Linked DNA regions of Macaca fascicularis. The protein of the gene in region 4 purifies or fractionates together with the protein of the main gene of each other region. This does not show direct contact. Links are inferred from orthologs where the notes say so. Each region holds a gene or a part of one and is shown on either strand. Other genes may lie near its edges. The genes, in order: INTS9, INTS12, CCT3, PPP2CA, TIPRL, PPP4R1 and CCDC6.

Region 1 (4,579 bases), on a different chromosome or scaffold from region 4:
AACACATTCAACCAAGTTAAGTGTAGGAAGTTATCCTAAGGGCAAAGGAAGATACTAAGAGGGTTTCATGGAACTCTGCAATTAAAACAACTTCTGGATGCAGAGGAAAGAATGAATTTGACAGGGTTAAGACTGAATACAGGGAGACCAGATAAGGGGTCTTGTTGAATTCCAAGCAAAAAGAGCCCACTACAAAGACAGTATTCTAGTTGGACTGGAGAGGAACAGAATCTATTTAAGAAAGTTTCATTTAGGAAGTAGAATCAATAAGAGGTGGTCATAGATTGTATGTGGGAAGGGTACTCTGGAAAGTCAATCTCAAAAATGAGAAAATGTTAAACAAAATTATGTATTTTTGTTTCATAATTATAAACTTAAAACACAGCCTATCACATATTCCTGAAGCAGTACACAAAATTAAAACTTTTAGGCCATGGGAGGACTTATTACCACCATTTGGGAGGCATGACGCATCAACCTAACTTACTGAGCAACAATGCTTTTGGTATGTTGATGGAAATTCTCAATTATATGTATCTATCAACTACCAAATAAGTTTTAGTATGTAATACATAGTTGCAAAGTAAAGAGAGAGTATGAGTATCAGTAGAAGACTTCCTTTTCCTCTGAGGCATCTTTGGTTCTTAATGGAAAAAATAATTTTCCACTTTTTTACTTTTTCCTATTCCCTGGTTTCCTATTTCTAAATAAATTAAGCAGGATTTTATGAGCAAACTAAAGTATACGTAAAGTAAACTCTGGCTTTTTTTTTTTTTTTTTTTTTTTTTTTTGAGACGGAGTCTGGCTCTGTCGCCCAGGCTGGAGTGCAGTGGCCGGATCTCAGCTCACTGCAAGCTCCGCCTCCCGGGTTCACGCCATTCTCCTGCCTCAGCCTCCCGAGTAGCTGGGACTACAGGTGCCCGCCACCTCGCCCGGCTAATTTTTTGTATCTTTTTAGTAGAGACGGGGTTTCACCGTGTTAGCCAGGATGGTCTCGATCTCCTGACCTCGTGATCCGCCCGTCTCGGCCTCCCAAAGTGCTGGGATTACAGGCTTGAGCCACCGCGCCCGGCCAACTCTGGCTTTTTGATACCCTCACTAATGAGTTGTTATGGGAAAAACTATTTCACACTTCCCTGCCTTCTTAAACTGAACACACCAAGTATAATTTGTTCTTTATTGAGAACACAGGGTCTGTGCTTTAGCCAATAAGTTACCAAGGTCTTCTGCTCCTATAAGCTGACTTCTTTCATGGAAGGTCCTGGCTTACTTATCCTTCTTATCAGCTCAAGAGTCAGTCACCTTTCCAGGAAGCTGTCCCTGACCTCCCCAATCTTCTCTCAGTTCCCAAAACCCTGAACACGCCTCTATTTTACCTTGAACACAGTGAATTATAATTTCGGACCAGGCACGGTGGCTCATGCCTGTAATCCCAGCACTTTGGGAGGCCGAGGTGGGCAGATTCCTTGAACCTAGGAGTTTGAGACAGCCTGGGCAACATGTTGAAATCCCATCTCTACAAAAAAATCAGCAGGGTGTGGTGGTGCGTGCCTGTATTGCCAGCTACATGTGGAGACCGAGACGAGAGGATCGCTTAAGCCCAAAAGGTGGAGGTTGCAGTGAGCTGAGATCGCGCCACTGCACTCCAGTCTGGGCCCCACAGAGCCAGAGCCTGTCTTTAAATAAATAAATAATAACTTTGGTTTACTTTTCATCTTCTTCTTAGGTTGCACGCTTCTGTAGGGCAACTGCTATGACTTTTAATTCTGCATTCTTAAATGTATAGCACACTGACCCAGGAGTAAATTGCTATTCTCAAGGTTTAGTGACCCGCATCCTTCCTCTTACATAAACATCTTTACATGGAGACAATTTCAGAATTGAATCCACTTTTAACACTTTGACTACGCAGAAAACAGCTGGCTTTGCAGAGTATATGCCTGTAACACAATGATTATCAAGATGAGGGTAGGTGGGTTGTGTGGTTTGGAAAAGCATATTCAGATAATTATATAAATGGTAAAATAAACTTTTTTTTTTTTTTTTTTTTTTTTTTGCTTACTGCAACCTCCGCCTCCCGGGTTCAAGCGATTCTCCTGCCTCAAGTAAAGCTTGACAGTAACTTGGCTGCACGAATATGGATTTTAAAAGGTTGATAAAGAGAGTTTCACACCTGCCTTTCTACACTATGTTATTACTAATTGAATCGAGTTGGAATAAACTAGTCAGACCTGTATGCACAATGAGTCAAATGGCTCAAATCAAAGGTTTGAGAAGTCTCTATGAGCCAGGTGCTTGAGTTGTGTGATGTTAAGACTTCAGGTATACCGGCACACTTCATCCAGACTTGGCTCATGCAGTCCCTACAGTCTTAGAATGGAATACCATATAACACTTCTCTCCCCATCTAAATCCCAGTTAGGGTTTAAGACTCAACTTCTCCACACTCTGACCTCGTCCTGAATACCAAGGGCAGTGAGGAGTCTATACAACAGGATATTTAATAAGTGATTACGTTCTGCCGAATGTTTTTTTTACTGTCTGCTTAAATCTAGCCAAAGTTTCAACAACAGTAGGGAGACAGGCTACTCAAGCGCCAGTCGAATGGAAAGGGGTTGTTAACAGCCTATTATAACCCTAACGTGGGAGCCAGGACGTCCAAACCTGGTTAACAGAGCCCACAGAGTTCATAGGGGAAGGACTGTGACCGAGTCAACGTCTTGTCTGAACAAAAAGACCCACCAACGAGTGAAAGAAGACCTCCTGGGAGGGATAGGGGGGCGGGAGAGGGAATTCAAGCCTTCTTAACAACAAAAAGCAGCTTTCTTTAGCCCACTCCACTTTCCAGCTACTTAATTGCTACCCCTCCTGTGTGACGATTCCCTGCCCAAAGTAGGAAAAAAAGAGGTCCAAAAGGATATAGCATCAACTTTGCCCTCTGACCTAGGAGCGAAGACTCACCAGTTTCATAATGGACTTTTGGTGGTTCAATAGCAGTCACTGAACTCCTCAAACGCAGGAAGCGTCTTCCGGTGCAATCTCCGCCACCTGCCAGCCCAGAGCATCGCGGGACTTGCAGTCTTTCATTCTCACGTCCCTTCCAGGGGAATCATAGGAAATGTAGTCTCCCCTCCAGGCACCATGGGAACTGTGGTCGCCTTTCCTTTTCCTCCGTTTCCTCTGCGGACGCCTCCTTCCGTCAGCTCAAATTCATCCCCGCCGCCCTCTCCACCCCAGCATGATATCATGTCCCCATTACGCGCCTGGAGCCCATGGTGTTCTGGGATGTGTAGTCCCGACGGCTCCGGGTCCCCTTTCCCCTCCTCCCAAAGGGAAGGCGGATGGGCACGGGGCTTGCCGGGAGTTGTAGTTCTCTTGGGCCTCTAGGCGCCGGGCTCCGCGCTTTTACTCGGGGGAGGCAGGAACTACAACTCCCAGGGACGCCGGGCGGCAGCAGGTGGGAGCGGGGCTGTTGATATCAATATGGCGGTTGTCAGCCAGACAAAGACAGTCAGTCTGATGTGATTGAGACAAGGGAGGTTTTTCAGGGGGAGACTGGGAGATAGGGGCCTCCCCTCCCCCTTCTCCTCTTCCTGCGTCGGCCTCAACCCCTCCCCAGTCCCCTCCCGACGGGCACCCCACGCGGAAGACACCCCTCCCCCTCCCGTTTTCCCTCCTCCCTACCTCAGCCCTTCGTACTGGGACGTTGGGGAGGGGGCTCTGCCGGGCGGAGAGAACTCAGCGAGGATTCTGAGGTGAGTCGAGCGGTTTTGAAGCCGGACAACCTCAAGTCTCTTTCCTCACTTCTTTCTCTTCATTTAAAACAATTTTTTTTGGAGGGGTTTTGGGGAGGAAGTGAGCGGACGCTGGGGATGGGTCTCGTTAGCGGCCGGATTGAGAGGAGGGAGGAAGCAGGGGGCTTCCGAGTGGGTGATCCAGACGCGGGCTGTGGGGTGGGGCAGTTCGTGGGGGCCGGTCCTGGAAAGGCGTCGACTGCCCCCCAACTCTTCTGGTTTCCTCTACTATGAGCGGAAGGTTTGAATCCTGGAGGTGGGGTCTCTGGTGTGGAGTTCGAGAAACTGTGAGGTGATTTGCAGGTGTGTTGGTTTGTTTGGGGTGTGGAAGTGTGTTTAAACTGTGTGACGTGTACTTGTGTGCTCTGCTTGTTTTGGAGCGGTGTCTGTAGATGAGAAGTTAGACAGCGCGAGTCCTCGCTCGCTCTGGGCCTGGGCTGAGGGGCGGGCGTGAGGTCCTGGTGCTGGGCATTTGGGCTGGCGACGTGGTGCGGGGCAGCCGGGCTTAGCAACTCGCTCGTGTCCCGTCGCCCGCTCACACTCCGCCACTCGCCTCCGCCCCCTCCCCTGGACGAATCTCCACCCCAAACTCCAGCCACGAGAACTGTAGAGATGGTGTGATGTGGAGATGGGTTTTTTGCATCCTTAAGTCGGTAGATAGGTGGGAAAGGAAAAGTGTTTCTTAATATTTTATTCCGGAACCGTGTTTTGGTTACACTATTGGGGCTACTTTGAAAGGCGTCCTCCACCCACCTTCACCCCGAAACAGTAGGTAGAGGTATCTT
Region 2 (3,977 bases), on a different chromosome or scaffold from region 4:
GGATAATGAGAAGGAAAGACTAAGCAATAGAGAAATGCAGCTGGAAAGACGGATATGCACATATAAATATCGCCTCTGTACACATCTTATTCATTTGGTGGTTTAAGCTCACTCAGGAATTTTCTATATTTCCTTACCAGACCTCAACAAAGAGTGGCGCTTTGTATCTCACCAATTCTCAGTGCTGCATGGTATATTAAAATGTTTATAAATACATTGACAGACTAGTAAGGAATATTCATAATTTGTATGTCACCAATCTTGTTTGTTTATCTATATTAGAAGTAGATAAAACTAAACAGAGAAAAATGCACATAACGTGGTCTGGTTTTTAGCCATAGAAATATTAATCACATATATATACTATACATATAAACATTTAAATAATCAACTTATATTATTTATTTTTTCAATATCTTAAATATTCAAATCTTTGTTTTGAAAGCACATACCAACAGAAACATTGACAGACTGTTTAAAATTAAAAATACGATTCCTACCATTCTTTTCATTTGTCTGGTACATCGGGCACAGTACCACACCAGGCGAGGGTCATTCGCTTCCTTGTCTGTCACCTGGGGTTTATGGCAATCTCGGTGGTAGAGATTATGGCACTCCTGACATTCTACTAATTGATTGCCAGATGCCACCATCATTTGCCTAAGAAAACACACCATTAAACATTACACTACTTTTTTAATGCAATAATTTAAAGTTATTTCAGGTGTACTGGCTCATGCCTGTAATCCCAGTACCTTGGGAGGCCAAGGCAGGCGGATCATTTGAGGTCAGGAGTTCAAGACCAGCCTGGCAGACATGGCGAAATCCTGCCTCTACTAAAAACACAAAAATTAGATGTGCATGGTGGTGCACACCTATAATCCCCACTACTCGGGAGGCTGAGGCAGGAGAATGGTTTAAACCCCGGAGATGGAAGCTGCAGTGAGCTAAGATCACACCACTGCACTCCAGCCTTGGTGACAGAGTAAGACTCTGTCTCAAAAAAAAAAAAAAAAAAATGTTATTTCAGGGTTGTTCTAGTAAAGTTTGGTATATTAAAAAGAAAAAAAATCCCAGAAACCCAAAGATCAAAATAACAAACTCCAACACATAGCATGCACAAAAGCATAAGCTTTTAAAGCTTATGGTCAACCATTAATAAATACATGGAATGCCATGATTAAATTTGGCTATTTTCTCCTTGTCATTTCTCATTATAATTTTTGTCTTTCTCTCAGAAGGTAGTAGACTCTGATTAGTCTTCCAACAGTCTCATAACATTTTGTATCTCTATTAAATTCCCTTATATTAGTTAGCTATATGTTGTTGTTGTTCTTCATTAATATGAGTTACCTAAAGGTGAGAAGTGGACCTAACTATTCACAGTCCTTAGCACGTTACTGCACACACATAGGGTGCTCAATGAATGTCTGATCAGATTAATAGAATGAAGCCATATGTGTATAAAAAAGTATAAATTCCAACAGCACAAAAGGCAGTCACCATAGCCTTAGATTATCATAGGCATATATATCATAATATAATAATCACTTTCCCTCTGGAACCCAAAAATGCAGAAAATGTTACAACATAACGGATTTAAAAGCCATAGTTGGTAAAGACATAATATTTGACAATTTTCAATATGTTAAATTGTTACATGGGCAGTTCATAAGACATCTACTTATCTCCACCCCAGTTTCAAATCGTAAAAACAAAATAGAAAATGCACAATTGTTCTGATTTGGGGGGTTGAGGAGTGGAAAGGGGTCCTGTGTTCTTCATAAAGTAACAAAATAATCTGTGGCAAGGGACAACTTACCTACAAACAACGCAGGCCAATCCCATCTCCATGGCAAAATCATCAGCACTGGTCTCCTCAAAACTGGAAAGGTCAGCCATAGCTAAATCCTTGCTAGTTTGGACAGTAATGGGAGAGGACTGTGTTTCTGGTTTCTCCAATCTAGGTTTCTTTGGAATATCAACTCCTTCAGTGATGTCTGATTTCATCTATAAAAAGCAGGCATCAGAAAATGATAAAGTGATGTGGTAGAATAAACTTTAAGTCACTGAAAGATGAATAAAAAGGACAATAGGCAATGATCAAGTCCATTTTACAGATATATTCACATAGTTTGGGACATATGTGCACATTAACGATCTGTAGAAGAATTATAACGAATTTATCGGTACATTAAATGAAACCAGCAAGACAGAAATAAATAAATCAGAACAGTTTAACAAAGATTTGTATTTCTCTTTGTACTCTTCTATCTATTAAAGATTTCTGGAAGTTCGATGGATTTACTTAGACTAGTATCTACTGTACAGACTTAACACATATTTGCTTCAAAGCAAATTCGGATTCCCTTCTTTAAGATATAAATATTATCAATATACCCATTAGATTTGGCAAAAATCAAAAAGTCTGATAAGACATGGAATTTGGAATTCTTGTACTTTGTTGATGACAGTGTAGATTTAGTACATCTACTTTTGATAACAATTTGGCAATGCCTAGCAATGTTGAAGATGTCATATCCTATTACATTCACTTATAGGTATACATCCTATAGAAACTATTAACATGACATTTGTATAAAGTAGCTCACTTCAACTCCATTGTAATAGAAACAAAGGAGAAATATCTAACTGTGCATCAGTAGGGGAATGATAAGCTGGTTAATTCACAGAGTAAGTATTATGTAGTAGTTAAAAGAAATCTAGATCTACATGCATCAACATAGATACATTTCAAAAGCACATAGTTGAGTGGAGAAAAAGTTACCAAAGGATATACACACACACCGTATGATATCATTTACATAATTTTTTTTTTTTTTTTTTTTTTGAGACAGAGTCTTGTTGTGTTGCCCAGGCTGGAGTGCAGGGGCACAAACTGCTCACTGTAACCTCCGCCTCCTGGGTTCAAGTGATTCTCATGTCTCAGTCTCCCGATCTGCTGGAACTACAGGTGTGCGCCACTACACCTGGCTAATTTTTGTATTTTAAGTAGAGATGGTGTTTTGCCATGTTGGCCAGGCTGGCCAACTCCCGACCTGCTGACCTCAAGTGATCCTCCTGCCTCAAACTCCCAAAGTGCTGGGATTACAGGCATGAGCCACCACGCCCAGTCTCATTTATGTAGATCTAAAAGCAGAGAAATAATCTAACGCAGTTTATGAATAGCCACTATTTAGCAAAAGTATGAAAACATACAGGATAATATACTCCATCTTGAGGGCAAAGGTTACTGAAGATATCGTTCAAATGTATTTTTTTCTAACTAAAATCTTAATTACTATATGTAGAAATCATCTAAAAATAGACAATCCAAGAATCATCCGTGGCCCTGCTCAGGTGCATACCATTCTATAAAGTTTATGTTTAGTCATTTACATCTATACTCTCCTATCTTTTCTTTCTTGCTTGCTTGCTTTTTTACTTGAGACAGCGCCTCACTCTGTCACCCAGGCTGGAGTGCAGTGGCATGATCTCCGCTCACTGCAATCTTTGCCTTCTGGACTCAAGCAATTCTTCCACCCCCTACCCGCCCACAAATAGTTGGGACTAGAGGTAATTGCCACCATGCCCAGATGATTTTTGTATTTTTTGTAGAGATGGGATTTCACCATGTTGCTCAGGCTGATCTTGAACTCCTGAGCTCAAGCAATCTACTTGCCTTGGCCTCCCAAAGTGTATCTATCTTTTCTTCTTAACAACTGTACCATCTAGGACCTCTGAGGCATAGATAAAAGTTTATACTCAAAATTACTATACTCCCTAGGGTTCAAATATTTATTGACAATAGCTTTTAACCATTTAACTTTAAAATTTGTAAATTTTACTCATTTTTCAAAGTCAAAATCTATAGTTATCAATACATATTCACTGAGTGATGATTATTATATACCTATACTCATTATTATATAAAAGAAATAGACATAAACCATTGTTCCTTTCTGCTTATGGAACAA
Region 3 (4,690 bases), on a different chromosome or scaffold from region 4:
CTCTATAAAGTCTAGATGCACAGGACACACGGCTATGACCAAATACCAGGGAAGATAGCTGGAGACAAACTACCATAAACACTTAAAAGATTTGTGACCTTGGCAGCATTGATGTTTCCAGATTGAACTTTTCTTCCAGATTCACGCTTTGTGTTCTGGCCTAAAATAGATAAAAACACAACAGTTAACAGCCCAGGACTGCCCCATCGTACCCAAGCTATTTATTTCCCAGTCTTTGAAAAATAAGAATGCAGGTTTCACGGTGTATCCACAGAGCAAAGCTTATCAAACTCTACACTTTAAATAAGTGCAGTTTATTATATGTCAACCATATCTCAAAAAACTGTAAACATATGTCCCTATGGCTGTTTACTTCCTTCTGTATTTCAACCCTTGATGTATTAAGAAATAACTTTGCAATCTTGGTTAATACTTATCTTCTAACCAAATATTCATATATTTACAGCAGGGATTCATAACCTGAGATCCATGAATGGGCCTTAATGGGATAGTGAACTCCCTGAGATTATGTGAGAAAATGAGAGAGACTGCAATTTTTTTTTTTCCCCCAGAAAAAGGATCCACAGCTATTTATCTTAAAGGGCTGGTGACCCTAAGAAATGACCATTCATTGCTTTATGTAAGCAGGGAAAGAGTTTGGGGATTCACATTTTCTGCTTGGATAGGGGGATCATACTCTAACAGGTTCAACATAATTAGTGATAGTGCCCCCACAGTACACTGTTTAGAACACACTCAACAGTATGCAAGATAAATTATATAGTCACCTCATAACTGGATGTAATAAGAAGGCCTCAGTAACCCATTTACCACCACTAAGAACTGACTACATACTTTAACTGGGAGCCTAATTGGTCACAGTCAACTAATGCCAGAGATTAATGCAGATCTGAAAGGAGCTTTGCAAATACACCACTCACCCCCAGGTCATCCCAGTGGAGACAAGCCAGTGGTTACAACCAAACCAACATAATGTTTATTTCCTTCCTCTCTCTAAATTACATTCCCTTACAATTTAAGTCTGTAAATCTTTCAATCCAGTCCCATCAAACCAAAACACCCACAATGCTTAGGATTTACATCTATCTCAGGGAGCTGTAACCAAAAACCCGCATGGACCTACAATCCATCAGAAACAAGGTTTTTTGTTTGTTTGTTTTTGAGATGGAGTCTCGCTCTGTCGCCCAGGCTGGAGTGCAGTGGCGGGATCTCGGTTCACTGCAAGCTCCGCCTCCCGGGTTCACGCCATTCTCCTGCCTCAGCCTCCTGAGTAGCTGGGACTACAGGCGCCCGCCACCACGCCCGGCTAATTTTTTATATTTTTTAGTAGAGACGGGGTTTCACTGAGTTAGCCAAGATGGTCTCAATCTCCTGACCCTGTGATCCGCCCGCCTCGGCCTCCCAAAGTGCTGGGATTACAGGCGTGAGCCACTGAGCCCAACCTGGTTTTTTTTCCCCAAAATAGCGTTAAGTTTTATTTTATTTTTTTCCTTAAAAGTTATTTCCCAGGTACAGAGATAATGAATAAAAACTCTGAAAGGCATTCAGTATACAGAAGACGGTAAGGGAGGAGAGATGGCTAGTCAGGCTCTGCAGATGAGGTACAGAAGTTACACACAGAATGGAAACATATCAAAGGAAGACAATGGAGGTGGTGCTCATTAGAAGAAATAAGGGACCAGGCGCGGTGGCTCACGTCTGTAATCCCAGCACTTTGGGAGGCTGAGGTGGGCGGATCACCTGAGCTCAGGAGTTGGAGACCAGCCTGGCCCACATGGTGAAACTCCAGTTCTACCAAAAACACAAAAATTAGTCTGGCGAGGTGGCGCGCGCCTGTACTCGCAGCTTACTCGGGAGGCTGAGGCAGGAGAAATGCTTGAACCTGGGAGGCAGAGGATGCAGTGAACAGAGATCGCGCCACTGCACCCCAGCCTGGGTGACACCGCGAGACTCTGTCTCAAAAAATAGAAAGAAAAAAAATAAGGGATCTTCCAAAGGGAAAAGATGACCAGTCGAGAAATCTGGGAAAACCCAACTGGTGAGTGGGAAAGATTACAACGCCGGGGACACGGAGGGAACGATTACATCTATGATCAGTGAAGCAAGTACGGTTACTTCTAGAACAGGGGTTGCTGTTCAAATGACTGTTACTGAAAATAAATGTAACGTAAAGTGACCAAGGATATTACCTATTCACCAGACCCTCTTCAAGCAGTCTGCCCACTTATCTCATTTAATTCTCACAATTCTACTAGGAAATACTATTAACTCCGTAACACAGATTGAAACATTTAAATGACCGCTACTAAGGGATGGGCCAAGGATATAAAGCTAGACCTAACTGAAAAAACAAAAAACATTATTCATGCAACTATATAGCGACAATCAGGCTAGAAAGGGTGCAGCGGCGGGGGAAGCGTGGGGACTGAGGGACAGAACGCGGAGTGGGAAGAGCTTCCCAAGACGAGCACACGTCAAGAAAAGAGGCTCGGCGAGAAAAAGGTCAGTTTGAGTTTGTGAAGAGAAGCGAATAGGTTAAGGGAAGAAAGGAAAGCGGGACACCGGGCTTCCAAAATGAAGATGATGACTGGAAGGCTCGGGGGCCGGGTCAGGGCGGGACGGAGCTGAGGCAACAGAAAACCATGGACGCAGAAGGGTGAAAAGGGAGTCCCTTTCCTGGTATCCCCAGAACTCACTGAGCACGAGTACGGGACGATGGCCCATCATGGCGGCGCGATGCAGAGCCGGGTACCCAGAGCTGGGCGAACCGGCAGAATCTTCTGGAGAGAGAGAACCAGACGGAAACCCAGAAAACGCTGCCTCCTCAGGGCTTACACCTTAACTCGCTACTCTCAAGGTAGTCACCAATCACCGCACCTATCTCATTGATCGGCACAAAAACAGACCAATTGACATCCTGAGTCCCGCCCTCTACGCAAGAACGACCAGACAAGTTAGGCAGAGAGAGCACGATGAAGGCACTGGGAGGGCACAGGCGCTTGCGCAATAGGGTGGCCGCTCCCGGCCGCGTGCAGCGCGAACGTCGGCGCAGGCGCCAAGGCTCTGGCAGTTGGCCGGCACGCCACTACGCATGTGTGTCAACTCTAGGGTTGGGTGCTGGGGTTGCGGCTTTCGGTTAACACCGCAGGTGAGGTCGTTAAACTGTGTATTGCGACTCGGCTCCTATCCGACCGTGAAGGCTAAGAAAGGCTTGACAGTTTCCACTCTTTTGTTCTAGCCTTAGCAATAGGTGGACTAGAGAGGCGGGACTCCGGCCAGCAGATGGGGGAAGACCTGGCCGGCTTGGCCCTGGGTGAAGTGGGAGTTGTAGTCTTACAGTGCGGGACTGGGCAGCCTTTTTCCGGGCACACTGGGAGTTGTGGTTTATCGCATCTGGACTAATGGCTGTGTGTGGACTTTTCCCTTCTTAGGAAATGCTTTCAGTGAGGCTGTGAGCAGTACCGGAGGGTGATGGCTTGCGTTTCCTTAAGTTACCCTATCTAAAATATTTTCCCAAGTATTTCCGCCGGGCGCTGTGGCTCACGCCTGTAATCCCAGCACTTTGGAAGGCCGAGGCGGGTGGATCACCTGAGGTCAGGAGTTCGAGACCAGCGTGGCCGATATGGTGAAACCCCGTCTCTAATAAAAATACAAAAATTAGCCGGGAGTGGTGGCGCGCGCCTATAATCCCAGCTACTCGGGGGGCTGAGGCAGGAGAATCGCTTGAACCCTGGAGACGGAGGTTGCAGTGAGCTTAGATCGCGCCACTGCACTTCAGCCTGGCGACAGAGCGAGACTTCATCTCAAAAAAAAAAAAAAAAGTATTCCCTGTGGTGCTTTGAGATTTTATTTCCCCACATCCATCCCTCTCCCGCTGTCCTCAGTCTTAGTTAGAGATGATGGGGAGCCAGAGTTTTAAAATTACCATTCGGGATAGGAGAAGGACTCATCATACCGTGGAAATTAAAACATGGTGAGAACACGGAAAGTAATTGCCCGTTCATCAGAGAGGTTTAAGGTTTGGCTTTGGTTAAATTACTATTTTGTCCAGAAAAAAAAAATGAAGCACTGGTATAGAAATAACTGTTTTCCAAACTAGTGAAGGAGAACAGTCACGCGTTTGGCCATGAAATAGAGTTTCCTACTTTTTCCTCCGCAGACTGGAACAGCCTGAGATCTGCTGGAGACAACTTAGGAAATTGTCATAGTGAAAATACTAGCATGGATTGTTGATCATCTGATGCTATGATTCTTTCCCAGGCACCACACCTGTTGGTGTTCAGATGGAGCAGCACACTAGTCATCCTAACAGAAAAGGTGTGTGTTGGAGGCCCTGCTTCCCCTCCCTTAAAAAGCAAGACCTCCTTTGCATTCCCCATTAAATTGGGAGCATTGCTGTATTCCCAGAACCTAGAACTGGATCTGTTAAATAGTAGATGCTCAGTAATTATTTGTTAAATGAATTTATTATTCTTCCTTTGTATCTTCTCTTAATACTTAGAACAAGATTGTGTACAGGATCTTAGAAGACATGGTGTTAGCTAGAGTGAACAGATACTGAGTTATAGTGGGACAGTTCCATTGGTGGCCAGGGAAATGCCTGAGGCCTTCTGACTCCAGAGCCTATCCACTTAACTTTAGGTGGAATACATTATCTGAAAGACCTACT
Region 4 (3,406 bases):
AATATCAAATATTAGTTCCCACAGAAGAACTGTTTTTTAACATCTAATCCTATTTGGAGGATAAAAGGGTGGAAAAACTCAAATGTTGAACACTGCCACTTTAAGTACCATTTTTGTCTTCAGGTGAACGTACATAAGACTAAACCATGATCCAACAATAGTTTTCTATTTGGTTTCACTAGTATCACTCAAAGAACTTGACACAGGCTAATGCTTTAACACTTTCTTATCGGAGACAAATTTAACTCTAAGAACATATGACTCAACAATGTACAAAGATTTAAGAATTTGCCAATCTGTCAATCATTTTAAAGAGTCCATATAATATACATAGCAATATAATATTCATAACCAGAAACTGCACTAAGTAAACACATCATTTAGTTTGTTAAGCTCTACCTGAAAACATGCTGTTTTATTAAAACAAAACCCAAAGACTTAAATCTCAAGTTATATGGTTTTACAATTAAGTCTTACTGAAGCAGCACAGATTTCCTTTCTTACAAACAAATTAATATGCAGGAAGAACCCACAAAGTGCACACCAACAATGTGACAAACTGTAATATGTGAAATACAAATAAATCCTGAAGTTAATCTGAAGAATGTCAAGGAGTTACCAGAGGTTATGTAGTGCCCTTGATTTTTATTTTATCTACAAGTCTACAAATTCTAAAATTTACTCAATTGATTTAACTTTTTTAATAAACAGCACCAGTCTTGCCCATTGATACAATTAAAATTTGACCTTCTCAGTTCTTAGTTCACAAGTTTATTATGAAAAACACTGCAGTGCTCTTGTGCAGTCACATCATCTTACAGGAAGGGAGAAAAAAACAGTTCTGTTCAAAACAACTCACCAGGTTCTGACAATAACAAAGAACAACATGGGGCTGAGATTTGAGTAGGGAATAAACTGAGTGCAGACAAATCATATAATTAAATTAAACGGTATCCCTGAAAATAAAAAGAACGATTTCAAAACTCACAAGTAGAAGGGAGGCCTTGGTACTTATTTTTAAAAATGTTCATTAAGCTCCAATGATTGTTTGCTGCTATCCTTATCTACAGTCATGCTGAGTAAAGCTATAGCTAAATGGAAGTTAAATTGTATTCACGAGGTGTTAATGTTTACATCTTATTATCTGCAGTCTCTCAGAGAAAGCAAAAGTAACTACAAATAGCGCTATGCCAGAAACTGGTTTCTTGACCAACAATGTCGCTTCAGCATGCAATGAACTGGTTCATTCTAAAGTGGTCACGGCTGTTGATGACAAGAGGCTTTGTATTTTTATATGGCACATCTTTTGGTCCATGTGAAAACAAGTTTTTTGAATGTTAACTATTTTCTGACACTTTGGAGTTACTGTTGCTCTTCCCATTTCCATTAGGTCGATATATGGTTCATGGCAATACTGTACAAGTTTAAAATTTCATTACAGGAAGTAGTCTGGGGTGCGACGAGTAACATGGGGCTCGCCTCTACGAGGTGCTGGGTCAAACTGCAAGCTGAAAAACAAGACAGATTCATGGTTTATGTTCCAAGACCTCCATGTACTGACAATCAAAATCAAGAACATGAGTCTTTCAAACTTTACACTTCCTATCCAATTTCAGCTTGTCTTAATGTAACAGAACCCTAATGATAATGGTCTGTTAACCGTACTCCCCTTGAAAGAGTCAAGGCAAATTCAGCCACAGAGACTATGCTTTTATAAAAATATGGTTTTTACCTTGACTGAAATTTCAAACAAAACAAAACATGGTTGGCGGGGCGTGGTGGCTCACGCCTATAATCCCAGCACTTTGGGAAGACGAGGCGGGAGGATAATGAGGTCAGGAGATCGAGACCATCCTGGCTAACACGGTGAAACCCCATCTCTACTAAAAAAATACAAAAAAATTAGCCGGGCACAGTGGCGGGCACCTGTAGTCCCAGCCACTCGGGAAGCTGAGGCAGGAGAATGGCGTGAACTCGGGAGGCGGAGCTTGCAGTGAGCTGAGATCGCGCCATTGCACTCCAGCCTGGAGGACAGAGCAAGACTCCGTCTCGGGGGGGGGGGGGGGGGGGGGGGGGGGGGGGAAGAAAAAGAAAAAACAAACAACAAAAAAACACAAAACATGGTTTTAAAAGTGAAAAACCTAGTAATTTATACTAGGATCTATATATAATAAGTTCCTGTGGGTGTGTTTCAATGTAGGTCCATTCAAAAACTTAAAAATAAAAGTTGGAATCTAACATAGTATAATCCCTTAATAAACTCTTTTTTGAGATGAAGTCTCGCTCTGTTGCCCAGGCTGGAGTACAGTTGCGGTATCTTGGCTCACTGCAACCTCTGCCTCCCAGGTTCAAGAGATTCTCCTGCCTCAGCCTCCCAAGTAGCTAGGATTACAGGCATGTGCCACCACGTTGGGCTAATTTTTGTATTTTTAGTAGAGACGGGGTTTCACCATGTTGGTCAGGCTTATCTTGAATTCCTGACCTCAGGTGATCCACCCACCTGAGCCTCCCAAAGTGCTAGGATTACAGGCGTGAGCCACCGTGCCTGGCCCCCTTAAACTCTTAAACCTCACATTTAACTATGTATTCAGGCTGGGCACTGTATCTTTTTTTTTTTTGAGACAGACTCTCACTCTGTCGCCCAGGCTGGAGTGCAGTTGTGCGATTTCGGCTCACTGCAAGTTCACACCATTCTCCCGCCTCAGCCTCCTGAGTAGCTGGGACTACAGGCACCCGCCACCACGCCTGGCTAATTTTTTGTATTTTTAGCAGAGACGGGGTTTCACCATGTTAGCCAGGATGGTCTCAATCTCCTGACCTCGTGATCTGCCCACCTCGGCCTCCCAAAGTGCTGGGATTCCAGGCCTGAGCCACCGTGCCTGGCCGGCACTGTATCTTATACTTGTAACGCCAACACTCTGGGAGGCCAAGGTGAAAGGATCACTTCAGCCTAGGAGTTTGAGGTAAGACTGGGCAATATAGTGACACCCTCTCTCTCAAAATAAATAAACAAACCAAAAACCTACATATTCAGTAATGCAATAAAATGTTCAAGTAGAAATACTTACAAAGAGTATTTTAGAGTATCGTCAAGTTCCATGATTGCAGCTTGGTTACCACAACGATAACAATAGTTTGGAGCACTGAAAATTGTTACTACATTTCGGTCATGGCACCAGTTATATCCCTACAAGGAAAAGGAGGCAAAAATCTTACTTTACTCCCTCAATTCAACTAAATGCTACTTCACTCAAGAGAGAAAAAAATCTCTACTCATTCCCACCCCTGCCAAAGGGGCTTAAGAAATGTTAATACTTTTTTTCTGGTTGACTTAATAATTTGCTGTACTTCATACAACCTGTAAGATACATACGTATTTGTTTTCCCCCTAATTACAAAATTTGCT
Region 5 (3,977 bases), on a different chromosome or scaffold from region 4:
CCTACTTTGTCTAACCAGAAGTTCTTTTTGCCCATATATTTGTTCATCTATAAACTTGTAAGCTACTAGCTAGCAGGTTCTGTCTAAATCACGTAATACATTACCAAGGCCCGAAACCCATTTTAGTGTTTCTTGATAGTGATAATGATAACAATATGGCAGTCTGCCACTGCCACCAACTACAGTTTTAAAAATAAATTTTTCCATTAAGGCCATCTTTTATTTTCTGCTGATAAGTCAACAAGCAAAACCCCCTCACATTACGTTCTGAGGGATGCCACAACAGAAAACAAGGACAATAAAAGTAGTTGCGAAAAATAACCCGTTACTAGAAAGTTCTAATGCTCAGACTGTCCAAGACAATTAATGACTCATAAAAGAAAAAAGTAAGATTTACCTTTAACTTAAGAGATTCTCCAAGTAAGGTTCCCTTATAATCTGTTGTATAGGTCCAATCGTATGGTTTAATAACCTCTTTGGAGTGTTCACCCTCCGTCCTCAAATACCAAAATGAGAAGGATCAGATTCAGTGATGCAGAATAGAGATTATCTGTATTTATATATCACATCCAATTATATTCTACAATAACATAAAATATCCTATTAAATATATACACTTGTTATAATTCACCAGTACAAGGTTTTTCTTACAGTTTTTCTACATTTATCGTTCTTTAACTTGTCATGTACTGATGTAGTCTTTTCAATTAGTCTGTACACTGCCTGAGGACACGGTTTAAAGGTTTATACTTCTTTGTATCATCTAAGGTACTTAGTACATATTAGGCACAAAGTAAATAATTGCTGATTTGACTATCAAAGAAAAACATGCTGTCTTAATTTCAATGCTTCTCAAATAGGATATTTATTAAGCATATCATAAGTAAACATTTTTCTTGAAAAACAGGAACATTAAATATAGCCTACTGCCTCTTCAATAAGGAATGCTGAAGAATTGAAAAAGTACATAGCTCAGCTCAGTTGTAATTCACTTTAATAAGAATTCAAGTAGTGGGGTAATTAACTTCCATTTTTATGTCTCAGAAAAATGAATTCTAGAATGATACAACTCTCATGTTTAATAATACCAGTTCTTCATTCTAACGACACACACGTATCATTACTGAATATTTTTTCAAGTCTTTCTCTTTTGTTTAACCTAATTATATTTTTTGTTTAACCTAATTGACCAGATTCTCACCTGCTTTCTTGCCACTCTTCAGCACAGGCCACTTTAAGCATTCCTTGGTAGTTGTTTACACATCTTAATGCATCTGTAGCATTGAACTCAATTCCAAAGCCAGAGCCATGCTGGATTCTTAAAACGTTGTCTCCAAACATCATTTCAGGGAGAGATGGCATATGTAATTCATCGGCTAATCTATACATAACCAAAAGTCATGTGAGATAATTTTATATCGCTGTTGGCATTTTTGTTTCTTTTCCAACCCAGAGAATTCTTCCTACATTGCTGAATGAGTTACACAGCGTATGATTTAATCAATATGATATATTTGCAAGGTCTACAAAATGCTTTCATCATCCATTCTTTCGTTATCATATCTTATGGCACTGTACTAGGTAGTGGGCTAAATAAGATAATATACAAACACAGATATAATAGCTTATTATATTACTATAATATATAGCACACAGATATTACTATAATATATATCATGAAGGTATGAAGAGAAGATAGCAAAGCAAATAAAGATACTGTCCCTTGTAGGAAAATAATTTTTCCACTAAAATTTTCAATTGTTGTAAGTTTCAAAAAGTGGTGATGAAAAAAGCAAAAGCACCTGATACTGATGAGGGAACCCAGCACTTGCCTATACAGACTTTCAGAAGGATTGTGTCAATTTACATTTCACCCTGGTGCAACAATCAAGCAAAAAATAACAGGAATTTAATAAAATCTACACACTTTGACCCAAAGTATCAGTTTTAGGATATCTGTACTAAAGAACAATTCCAAGTACAGAAAAAAACTATACACATTAATACTTACAATGGCTTTACTTATAATCGTGAAAAAGAAATACTCTGAATGTTTCATTATAAAGCAATAAATGATTATGGAAACCAAAGTATATCCATATGATGAAATATTACGGAACCATTACAAATGTTTAAAGAGAGAATATAATAATATGGAAAAATGCTTATGATAAAATAGTATGATCAAAATGCGTATGATAAACAAGACCTATGGCCACGCAAGGCAAGGATTAAGTCATGCCCGACAAACCATAAAATCTCATTAAATGGTTTTTTATGTGCAATGGTATAATGTGCCTTACTTTCCAACCTGACTGGTATAGCATCACAAGACAGACAGTAGGCCCCCTTTTCTTAAGCATTCCTTTCTACTGACTTCAAGTCTTTAAACAAAGCTTAACACTGTTTTTTGTTTGTTTGTTTTTGAGACAAGGTCTTACTCTGTCACCCCAGGTTGGAGTGCAGTGGCAAGATCTCGGCTCACTGCAACCTCCGCCTCCCAGGTTCAAGTGATTCTCTTGCCTCAGCCTCCCTCGTAGCTGGGATTACAGGCATCTGCCACCATGCTCAGCTAAGTTTTGTATTTTTAGTAGAGACTATTTTGGATAATCTTGAACTCCTGACCTCAGGTGATCCGCCCGCCACAGCCTCCCAAAGTGCTGTATACACATTGTATATTTTTTACATCTATATGTGTATTTCTGTGTGCACATATCAGTGATCTAACTTTTTGAGGTACAGGTCTTCAGGATGATACCTAACAATGTTACCTTTCATCATAATTTTAAGTAAAATTTATTCTTTGTTATTAGGAGATAGAAAATATTAAATACTTAAAAGATTAGATACAATAAACTGTAATTGGAATATATATTACATAAGATTCCATAAAATAAGTTTTAACTTGAATAATGCATACCAAATGTGAAATAATACGTGAGTCTGTGGGTTCTACCCAATACATCTGGAAAAATCTGGCAGTCCTATAAAATATTCCACTCATATATGTAAAAGAATCACTGTTACTAATTTACAGTCCTTCAATGTTCTAAATATAGAGTTTCTTAAACACAGGCCAAAATGCCCTATTTCTTTTTTCTTTTTTTTTGAGATGGAGTCTTGCTCTTTTGCCCAGGCTGGAGTGCAATGGCATGATCTCGGCTCACTGCAACCTCTGCCTCCCAGATTCAAGTAATCCTCCTGTCTCAGTCCCTCTAGTAGCTGGGATTACAGGCACGTGTCACCACGCCCGGCTAATTTTTGTATTTTTAGTAGAGACAGGGTTTCATCATGTTGGCCAGACTGGTCTCAAACTCCTGACCTCAGGTGATCCACCTGCCTTGGCCTCCCAAAATGTTGGGATTACAGGCGTGAGCCACAGTGCCAGGACTGAAAATGCCCTATTTCTAACATCAAGTTTCCCTCTTAAAAACAGGTATAACCAGTTATAAGGAGAGAAGACAGGAAGCTCCTCTGGTTTTAAGGTGCCTTAAATATTCATTAAAGGGAGTTTCTTTAATCCAATAATTTACCCAATCAATTTATTTAGCACCTTAGCGGTTTTTACAATCTATGGTAATGCATCACAGAAAAATTTAGGATTGGTGAGGGTAAGTCTTCCTTTTGTCATATAAAAAAGGCAGCTTTTTTTTTTTTTTCAGTGGAGGGGACAGAGTCTCACTCTATCATCCAAGCTGGAGTGCAGTGGCATGATCTCAGCTCACTGCAACATCCACTTCCCAAGTTCAAGTGATTCTCCTGCCTCAGCCTCTGGAGTAGCTGGGAGTACAGGCCTGCACCACCACTCCCAGATAATTTTTTTTGTATTTCTAGTAGAGGCAGGGTTACACCATGTTGCCCAGGCAGGTCTTGAACTCCCGACCTCAGGTGATCCGCCCGCCGCGGCTCCCAAAGTGCTGGGATTACAGGCGTGAGTCACCGCGCCCAGCCTCAGGCAAATTTATTTTTTAAATAAT
Region 6 (3,977 bases), on a different chromosome or scaffold from region 4:
ATGAACAAATTCCAGGTGGAATACAGATCTGAATGTCAAGGCAAAAAACAATAAGGCTTCTCTGTGTTAGAGAATACAGGAAAAGATATTTATTATGACTTTGAGATTGGAGAAAATCTCTAAGAAGACAAAAGCAGCACAACCCATAAAGGAAAAGCACTTCTCTTCTTTAAGAAGCATCACTATGAGCGCAAACACAAGGCACAGAGTGAAAAAGATATCTTCAATACACATCAACAACATAGGGCTCATATGCAGAATGAATTCCTGTAAATCTGTAAGAAAACGACTGCCAATTTTTTAAAGGGGGAAGAGACTTAGACATTTCAAAAAAGAAGCCGGGCATGGTGGCTCATGTCTGTAATCCCGGCACTTTGGGAGGCTGAGTTGGGTGGATCACGTGAGGTCAGAAATTCAAGACCAGCCTGGCCAACATGGAGAAATCCCATCTCTACTAAAAATACAAAAATTAGGTGGGCGTGGTAGTGCATGCCTATAATCCCAGCCACTCGAGAAGCTGAGGCAGAAGAATCACTTGAACCCAGGAGGAGGAGGTTGTAGTGAGTCCAGGTCGTGCCACCGCATTCCAGCCTGGATGACAGAGTGAGACTCCATCTCAAAAAAAAAAAAAAAAAAAGGATACCCAAATAGCCAGTAAGTATATAACCAGGTATGAACTTCACTGGCTATTGAGGAAATGTAAATTACAACCACAATGAGAAACCACTACACATCCATCCATTCCAGGGGAAAATAATAAAAGCAGTTGGTAAATTTTGGGGAATAAAAAAATCAAGATAAAAGCTAATGAAAGGTAAGGCAGAAGACTGAAAGGTTCTCAGCTGCTTATTTGTCTAAACAAAGGATACATATTTCATTCACTTCAGAGCTATATTATTCAATAGTCTTTATCTTACCCAGATATCACAATAAGCCCAGTCCTACAAATTAGAAACCTCAGGGTGAAATCCTCTCTCTTCCTCACTCTATCCGGAGGTTAGCCTTGGAATCCCTCCCAGCACTTCAATTTCTATCCAACAATTCATCCTTATAACAATTAACTGGCTGGTCACGGTGGCTCATGCCTGTAATCTCAGCACTTTGGGAGGTTGAGGCAGGTGGATTACTTGAGGTTAGAGAAGTTCCAGACCATCCTGGCCAACATGGTGAAACCCCTTCTCTACTAAAAATACAAAAATTAACTGGGTGTAGTGGTGCATGCCTGTAATCCCAGTTACTCGGGAGGCTGAGGCAGGAGAATTGCTTGAACCTGGGAGGCAGGGGTGGTTGCAGTGAGTGGAGATCACGCCACTCTGCTCTAGCTTGGGCGACAGAGCAAGACTGTCTCAAAAACAAAAACACCCAATTAATTGGTATAGTCTTCCAATTAGTCTTCTTGTCACCCATCTTTTTCACCATATCAGTTCATACTGCTACACCACACTGTTCTAAATCACAAAACAGGTAAAGTCATCAGCATGGTTTGTTATAAACCTTTACAATCTAGCCCTCACCTACCTTATTTAACAGCCTAATTTTTCTAACCTGGAAACTCAGCAGGTTAGTCTCATTGTCAGGTTGGCCTCATTGTTGACCAAACGGGCCACCTTCTTGAACTCCTCTGTCTTTTCCTCTCCTGGGTGCGCCCTTTCCCCTCTCTATACCTCATGATTCTATCAAATCCAACGTAAACGTCACTCACTTTCTGAAGCCTGCCCCGATCCTTCCCACTGTAATGTACTGTTTATATGTTGGCTGCATTCACTAAACTGTTAATTTGACGACAGAAATCCTTGTTCACCTTAATGACTGCTCTAGCATTTAATCTAGAACCTGGTATAGAGTAGGTACTGTTTGATGTATACTGAATGAATAGAATTATGTCAATAGAGACATTTACTATGAACTTACCAATGTGAGAACATATTTTAAAATACACACACACACCCCCACACACTTACCAAAAAAAACTCTAGAGCTGGTAAACAGATAAAGGAAAACACAAATCCATCCTTAAAATATCTGTCTTTACTAAGGAATAAAACCATAATAGGCTTAACAGTGCCATGAATTTACATTAAATTGTTAGTTAACTTAAATCAAATTTAAAAAATAAGTAAAAATTATACTTGATGAGACCCCTCCTAAAACCATTTTAGAGCAAGCATATACATAAGCAATTATGTACACAAAGGTAGACTATTGCTCAGTTAAGCCTATAAATGTTGTACCCACCCTGTAAGAATATTAGGAACATTTAAGGCTTATGTAAACATTTAACATATTCCCATTAAAATGAACTGTTCATCAAAAGATGAGTTTGTCTAAAAATTAAAAGATGGGGCTTGCTGAGATGCCAAAAAGTCTGTCAGAGATGGAAAATATACTTTAATAAAGATAACAGATTTAAGGAAAAAAGTTTTAGAATTTATTTTTGGATTGTTTCTAAAATCAAGTATAAAAATATGCTTAATATTACCTTAAAATAGTTTCATGTGTTAAGTATATTTTACTACAACAAAAGACATATTTGTAAAAACTCTAACATCACCATTTTCTAAGCTTCACATCAAGTTTACCTCTTTCTTAAGCAGACTTTCTCATTTTCACTTTGGAGATAAACCAGGTGTAGTTTTACAAATGGTTAACCAACATTTTTTGAAAGTGAGAAACCACACAGAAAGCAAGCTTTCTATATTTGCCTAAAACAATTTATAGGCCGGGCGCGGTGGCTCAAGCCTGTAATCCCAGCACTTTGGGAGGCCGAGACGGGCAGATCACGAGGTCAGGAGTTCGAGACCATCCTGGCTAACACGGTGAAACCCCGTCTCTACTAAAAAATACAAAAAACTAGCCGGGCGAGGTGGCGGGCGCCTGTAGTCCCAGCTACTCGGGAGGCTGAGGCAGGAGAATGGCGTAAAAACCCGGGAGGCAGAGCTTGCAGTGAGCTGAGATGCGGCCACTGCACTCCAGCCTGGGCGACACAGCGAGACTCCGTCTCAAAAAAAAAAAAAAAAAAAAAACAATTTATAGCCTTCTCCATCTCTTTTAATGTATTCAAAATTATTCTAGATATTATTAATCCTAAAATATTAATATACATGATGCAAAACAATATTTTTAGACTTGTTTTGATGAGAAATTTCTAAAATTAAACTAAATGAGACTACTGTAAAATGTCCAGGTCTCAGTAACACATTTTACTTTTGTTGTCATGGATGGCTTTGATAATTACTTAGGAAAGATTTTAAAGCCATCTCATATCACATTAATTTTTTCATTAGTTTTTAGAAACACAAATTTGGTCAAAGAAACCTTTCTAGAACAGAGTAAATTCACTTTCTCCACATGAACATATACCTGAATCATCGGCCAATCTGCTAATTCTTTCCAAAACAGCGATACAATCTCTTTCATCATCGCAGACTTCCCTCAAGGTATCCAGCAAACTCCGGGCCACCATTTGTCTACACAGAAAAACAAGATTACGTATGTTCAATGGCATCAACAGCTAATATCCAGAATTTTATTTTTTTGAGACAGGGCCTCATTCCTGTTGCCCAGGCTGGAGTGTAATGGTGCGACCACGGCTAACTGCAGCACTGACTTCCCTGGCTCAGGTAATCCTCCCACCTCAGCCTCCTGAGTAGCTGAGACTACAGGCATGCACCACCACACCTGGCTAATTTTTAAATATCTTTAGTAGAGATGGGGTTTCACCATGTTGCCCAGGCTGCTCTCAAACTCCCGTGCTCAAGCAATCCACCTGCCTTGGCCTCCCAAAGTGCTGGGATTACAGGCATGAGTCACTGCGCCTGGCCGGTATCTAGAATTTTAAAAGACAAAATCTACACATTTTTAAAGAAATTTTTTTCAGGCCGGGCGCGGTGGCTCAAGCCTGTAATCCCAGCACTTTGGGAGGCCGAGACGGGCGGATCACGAGGTCAGGAGATCGAGACCATCCTGGCTAACACGGT
Region 7 (4,639 bases), on a different chromosome or scaffold from region 4:
TCACCTTTAGTGCCTAAGAACATGAACATTAATATCACAATTGAAACTAAAAAGAGCCAGAAAGGCAATTACCAGAATTATGGTACCATCTTCCCTTCAAATTAACAGTGAAAATTCTAACAGTGTTTTCACAGTGAAAAATCTAACAAGGTCTTCACTTAATTATCAGAAACTTCCTAGACTGCCACTAGCAAGGGTAATGCTTAAGTGAGCAATGTCAGGGATTGTACAGCTTAACCTTGATATAAACTACTAAAGTGTAGTTCAATGGACTCTCTGCATTCACAGACCAATTTCATGGAGTCACATACATTTCTCCTCCCACATTACATACCTGAGGGGTCAAACGTACCCCTACAGAATCTGGATCCTAGGTCAGTTAACACCTGCAAAATCTTGAAGGAATCTATTTCCTGCATTTATCATTCAGCTCCTCAGTAACAACTGCCAAGTATTAGGAAACCAGGCGAACCACAAGCACTTTTTTATTTGTCTCCCTGAATATATTAGTCAGAGATTAAAGAAGAACTGAGAGGCTTCTGGTACTTGTGCAGTGTCATCTAAAACAATTTTAACTTTACTCATTAACACCGCACGACATTTCACAAAGTATATTCGGCTGGATGTCAGTTTTAGTTAAGGGTAAGTGCTAAGAAAAAAAGCCACCACCTTATACACTTTTCGAGCTAAGTACTCAGAAGGCCTCTGGTTTGAAACACAGGGAATGAACACATTTGTTCCTGCAAAGCCAACATGTGTAAGTACAGTTTACAAACCTACTTATAGTACGGTCGAAGTGTCAAACAGATAACCCTTTGATAGTCTCTGCATCCCTCATTCCTCCCTCCCCAACAAAACCAGCCTGAATTGCCTACTGCATGCAAAAGGCTATTTCGCTTCGTGCAAGTTTTACTACTTTCCATGGTTCACAACCTCCAAGACACTAACCCTCTCATTTACTAACTCAAATCTTAAATAAACTGCCTCCACCAACTTCCCTCTCTTCTTAACCCCCACTCAGCAAAGACATCTCTGTCAGCCAAGAAAGCTGCATAGGAGGCTTGGAAGTGGCTGCCTCTGCAAATTCCCCGCCCCCACCCCCCTTCCTACCAAAAGGGCAGTTCAAGAACTTTACCATCTCACATGCAAGTTGCTCCAATTCCATTCTCCAAAATTGGATTTGAACATGAAAAGTTTCTTTTTACAATCAACTGCTATTTAGGCTACTGATCACACTTAACCTGCAATTTGCTTTCTACACAAATTAAGAATGCCATCTAGTTCTCATGTATGAGCCAGCATTGGGGGTATACACACTCGCGCACATATATACACAGGCTCCTCCACCGTAGGCTATTTCCCGGCGCAAGGGGCATCCTAAACTTGCCCCATTTCCAAGATGGGACCCTCCATCCCCAAATTCAACCCTTTTTCTTTATTTCAAAGTTCAGCCTAATCCGCTATTTTGCAGCAGCTATGGCAATTTATCCCCCTTGATTTCTTGACATTTTCTTCTCTCCTCCTGGCTGGGAAACTTCTGATTTGAATACAGTTGTCTGTGTGGGGATCCTGCATGTTAATGATGTGGTGAGCTGGCAGGGATGATAGGTGAGAGTACACAGTGTACTTTTTCTAGTTACGTTTCGCCTCATCACTGCTATACGGGCCTTTCTAAACGCTTGCCACACCAGGAGAGACCTGCAGACCCAAGCTTACCCTTTTCTGGGCAGCCTCCAGGGACCAGGTAGAAACAGAACTGATGGCCTGTTCTCCAGTATCTAGACTCAGAAGCAAGATGCTCCTAATCACTCTACGAATGGAGCGAACACACGTACCTCTGGCTCAGCCAGGGAGTCACAGTGGCTACCCTTCCCCTGGTTTCGGCCCCAGCCCTGTCCAGGCCTGAATGCTGCACTCTCCTCGCAGTAAACCGTCCACCCTCCCACTCCAAGGCAAAGAGCTTCCAATGGAGGTGGGAGCATTAGCTTGGTACCCGCCCTTCCCTCTCGATCCTGGCCAGAAAACTCCACTTCCCGGATTCCCGGCCACTCTCTCCCGCCCCGTACCCGGGCGATCCAGCTAGTGCCGTCCAGATGCCAGCTTAGTACCCAGCCCAGCTGCGAACCCCCACACTCCGAGCCAGGCCCCAGTAAGATATCCCAGCTTCCGCTCTCTCCCCCGGACTGGGGTTCCCCAGATTCTGGACGCACCCCTCAAGCATGCTAGGGCTGAAAAAAGTCCTACCCCGCCCCCCAGCCACGCCGCCAGCCTCCAGCCCAGCCCCGGAGGGGCCTCTTCTCCAGAGGCCAAAAGGGACCATGAATGGTTGCCACAGTAGCCTTCCCCCGCACCGCGCAAGGGTCCTCAGCCCCGCGAGGAGGACAGACCCGCGTGGCCCCGAAAGGACACCTCCCTCTCCTCCCAGAGGCCAGCAGGTCCCCGCAGGGAGTGTGCTCTCAGAGGGTCCCCGGGAATCTGGGGAAGACTGGGGGTTGCCTGGATGCGGGTGCAGCCCCTCCCGGGCCGGGCGGAGGTTGGCGCTGCGGCGCGCCCCCGGGGGGCACTCACGATGGTCACGCTGGCTTTGCGCAGGTCGCGGTTCTCCTCCTGCAGTGCCTTGCACTTCAGTTTGTAGGTCTCCAGCTCTATCTTCAGCACCTTGTTCTCTTGCTGCAGCGAGGCCAGGCGGTTGGTGAGCTCCTCCAGGCGGAACGGCGAGATGACAATGCCCCCCGACTTCCCACCGCCGCCGCCTCCCCCGCCGCCACCGCCGCCGCCCGAGGTCGACGAGCAGGACGACTGCATGGCGGCCGAGCTGCTGCTGTTGCCCCCCGCCCCGTCCGTGTCGCTCTCGCTGGCGCTGTCCGCCATGGCCGCGGCGGGCTGGGGAAAGGAGGAGGAGCAGCAGGGAGGCGGCGGCGGCGAAGGCCGGGCTGCGAATGAGTGGGCGCCGGGCGAGCACAGGGGAGCGCCGAGCTGAGCGCCTGGCACCAGGGCGCAGACTCGGAGCGGCGGCGAGAGAAAGAGAGGGCGCTTCCCGCTGCCAAGGGACCTCCTCTGCCAGAGAACAGAGACCCCGCCCGGGCTTGGGCAGTATTGCACTGGGGCTTGCTCCAGCCGGGCCGGGCGCGCTCACTAGGCCGCCCAGCAGAGCTGGCTGAAAGCTCCGGGACCCGCCCGCCGCCGCCTGGTGACCACGGGCGGGCTGGGAACGCGCAGGCACTGCGGGTGCGGGAAAGCCAAGTACTGCCCCCGCACCACCAGCTCGCCAGCCACACGTGTTCCAAGGGAGGGCCTATGAGCCCCCTGGTCTAAGCCCGCGGCCGCCCAGCCTCTTCCGGGCTCGCGCCCGCCCCAAGAAAAAAGAAACCTGATGCCCCACCAGCCTCGCAGGTGCCGAGGACACGTGGAAAGGTCAGCCGGGCTCCGGCGCCCATCCTCTACCGTGTTGTGGCCCCATCTTCCGCCGACTGTGTGTGCGCGTGTCTCCCTCTATCTGTTTCACACATACACGCAGTTTTATATTATCAAAAGCAAGGTGTTTTTGACTGGGAAGGCTTGGATAAACCTAAGAGAACAAAGTTCCTCTACAAGAGGCCGAGGAGGATGAAACAACAGCAGCCACAAGTTAACCTTGTTAAGAAAGAATTTGCGGGAGAGACACACACCCCCTTTAATAACCTTATAAACCACACTGCGCTCAATTGTTTAAACAAGGTGCAACTGTTTTTTTTCTTTTTCTCTTTGCATTTTGCAAACATTTCCAGCACATGTCACGCAGTAGGATTAAGGCAGTAACATTTATCTAATGAAGAAAAAAAAAAGGAAAGCGAAACACTTTTAGCAGAAGGTTGAAACACCTCTTTAAGTGCCAATTTTCCAAAGTAACCGCGGACATAACATTATGCTATAGAAATAGTAATGATTGAGTGGGAGTACAACATCACCCTTCTTTGCTATCCTGTTGCTCACTCCTAGAAAACTTTAGCATGTAAAAATAAAACAGTAATTACTACAACGCGGTCTAATTCAGGGTTCTAGCTTTGCAGTTTAAGAAATTAAAAATCAAAAACTTTTATTCCCCCTCCCTCTTCCCAAAGGCTTGCAGGCAATTGGCCCAGCAGGTGAGATGATTCTAAACACTTTGCCCTGTTGACACAAAACAGCTTTCACTTATGTATAAAAATTGGAAAGTGAAACTGACCAGACTAGTTTTATTACCCATGCTTAGTTAACATTAGAACAAACACATGGAAACAGAAAATAGAAAAAAAAGTGTAATTTTGTTTTCTGTTGCGTTGAACTTTCTGAAAGATTTCTAAAGCGTTAGGAAGAAGGAAGAATGATTCTTATTCCCACTCCCTCGTTATCTTTAAACTTAAATTTGATCTCATGATTAAACGGTGATTCAATGGCTCTTGGAAACTGGCACCTCAGAATAAACTCGAAAACACCAAGTGTTCCAAATGACATCATCTTTCACCAAGATGGCTGCTTTCAGCAAACAGCTTAAATGCCAACAGCAACTAAACCCCCATTTCTCCCAGGTAGTTTAGCTTAGTGCTAGAGGGCTTCTGAACTCTGTCACTGTTTGTGTAGCAGGAGGGGGGAAATGCTTGGCTTTGCTCTTGAGAAACAT

Evidence for each region.
Region 1: the proteins of PPP2CA (region 4) and INTS9 purify together in Homo sapiens (affinity purification with mass spectrometry; 3 studies listed by BioGRID and IntAct, with this or other methods). This does not show direct contact. The link is inferred for Macaca fascicularis from reciprocal best matches to the Homo sapiens genes PPP2CA and INTS9.
Region 2: the proteins of PPP2CA (region 4) and INTS12 purify together in Homo sapiens (affinity purification with mass spectrometry; 4 studies listed by BioGRID and IntAct, with this or other methods). This does not show direct contact. The link is inferred for Macaca fascicularis from reciprocal best matches to the Homo sapiens genes PPP2CA and INTS12.
Region 3: the proteins of PPP2CA (region 4) and CCT3 purify together in Homo sapiens (affinity purification with mass spectrometry; 4 studies listed by BioGRID and IntAct, with this or other methods). This does not show direct contact. The link is inferred for Macaca fascicularis from reciprocal best matches to the Homo sapiens genes PPP2CA and CCT3.
Region 5: the proteins of PPP2CA (region 4) and TIPRL purify together in Homo sapiens (co-immunoprecipitation; 4 studies listed by BioGRID and IntAct, with this or other methods). This does not show direct contact. The link is inferred for Macaca fascicularis from reciprocal best matches to the Homo sapiens genes PPP2CA and TIPRL.
Region 6: the proteins of PPP2CA (region 4) and PPP4R1 purify together in Homo sapiens (affinity purification with mass spectrometry; 3 studies listed by BioGRID and IntAct, with this or other methods). This does not show direct contact. The link is inferred for Macaca fascicularis from reciprocal best matches to the Homo sapiens genes PPP2CA and PPP4R1.
Region 7: the proteins of PPP2CA (region 4) and CCDC6 purify together in Homo sapiens (affinity purification with mass spectrometry; 4 studies listed by BioGRID and IntAct, with this or other methods). This does not show direct contact. The link is inferred for Macaca fascicularis from reciprocal best matches to the Homo sapiens genes PPP2CA and CCDC6.

The regions. Positions count from the first base shown.
Region 1 is NC_088382.1:32,072,232-32,076,810, forward strand, and holds the start of INTS9 (integrator complex subunit 9), read right to left. Parts: upstream 3,067-4,579; 5' UTR 2,971-3,066; coding exon 2,962-2,970; intron 1-2,961. UniProt on the Homo sapiens protein: Component of the integrator complex, a multiprotein complex that terminates RNA polymerase II (Pol II) transcription in the promoter-proximal region of genes.
Region 2 is NC_088379.1:111,409,480-111,413,456, forward strand, and holds part of INTS12 (integrator complex subunit 12), read right to left. Parts: intron 2,011-3,977; coding exon 1,823-2,010; intron 661-1,822; coding exon 501-660; intron 1-500. UniProt on the Homo sapiens protein: Component of the integrator complex, a multiprotein complex that terminates RNA polymerase II (Pol II) transcription in the promoter-proximal region of genes.
Region 3 is NC_088375.1:104,736,428-104,741,117, reverse strand, and holds the start of CCT3 (T-complex protein 1 subunit gamma), read right to left. Parts: upstream 2,867-4,690; 5' UTR 2,749-2,866; coding exon 2,718-2,748; intron 161-2,717; coding exon 99-160; intron 1-98. Other genes in the region: TSACC (TSSK6-activating co-chaperone protein), read left to right, coding at 4,305-4,338. UniProt on the Homo sapiens protein: Component of the chaperonin-containing T-complex (TRiC), a molecular chaperone complex that assists the folding of actin, tubulin and other proteins upon ATP hydrolysis.
Region 4 is NC_088380.1:140,718,919-140,722,324, forward strand, and holds the end of PPP2CA (serine/threonine-protein phosphatase 2A catalytic subunit alpha isoform), read right to left. Parts: intron 3,188-3,406; coding exon 3,069-3,187; intron 1,509-3,068; coding exon 1,436-1,508; 3' UTR 759-1,435; downstream 1-758. UniProt on the Homo sapiens protein: Catalytic subunit of protein phosphatase 2A (PP2A), a serine/threonine phosphatase involved in the regulation of a wide variety of enzymes, signal transduction pathways, and cellular events.
Region 5 is NC_088375.1:25,845,981-25,849,957, reverse strand, and holds part of TIPRL (TIP41-like protein), read right to left. Parts: intron 1,382-3,977; coding exon 1,202-1,381; intron 498-1,201; coding exon 398-497; intron 1-397. UniProt on the Homo sapiens protein: May be a allosteric regulator of serine/threonine-protein phosphatase 2A (PP2A). Isoform 1 inhibits catalytic activity of the PP2A(D) core complex in vitro. The PP2A(C):TIPRL complex does not show phosphatase activity.
Region 6 is NC_088392.1:77,938,814-77,942,790, forward strand, and holds part of PPP4R1 (serine/threonine-protein phosphatase 4 regulatory subunit 1), read right to left. Parts: intron 3,468-3,977; coding exon 3,361-3,467; intron 1-3,360. UniProt on the Homo sapiens protein: Regulatory subunit of serine/threonine-protein phosphatase 4. May play a role in regulation of cell division in renal glomeruli. The PPP4C-PPP4R1 PP4 complex may play a role in dephosphorylation and regulation of HDAC3.
Region 7 is NC_088383.1:86,716,856-86,721,494, reverse strand, and holds the start of CCDC6 (coiled-coil domain-containing protein 6), read right to left. Parts: upstream 2,942-4,639; 5' UTR 2,872-2,941; coding exon 2,569-2,871; intron 1-2,568.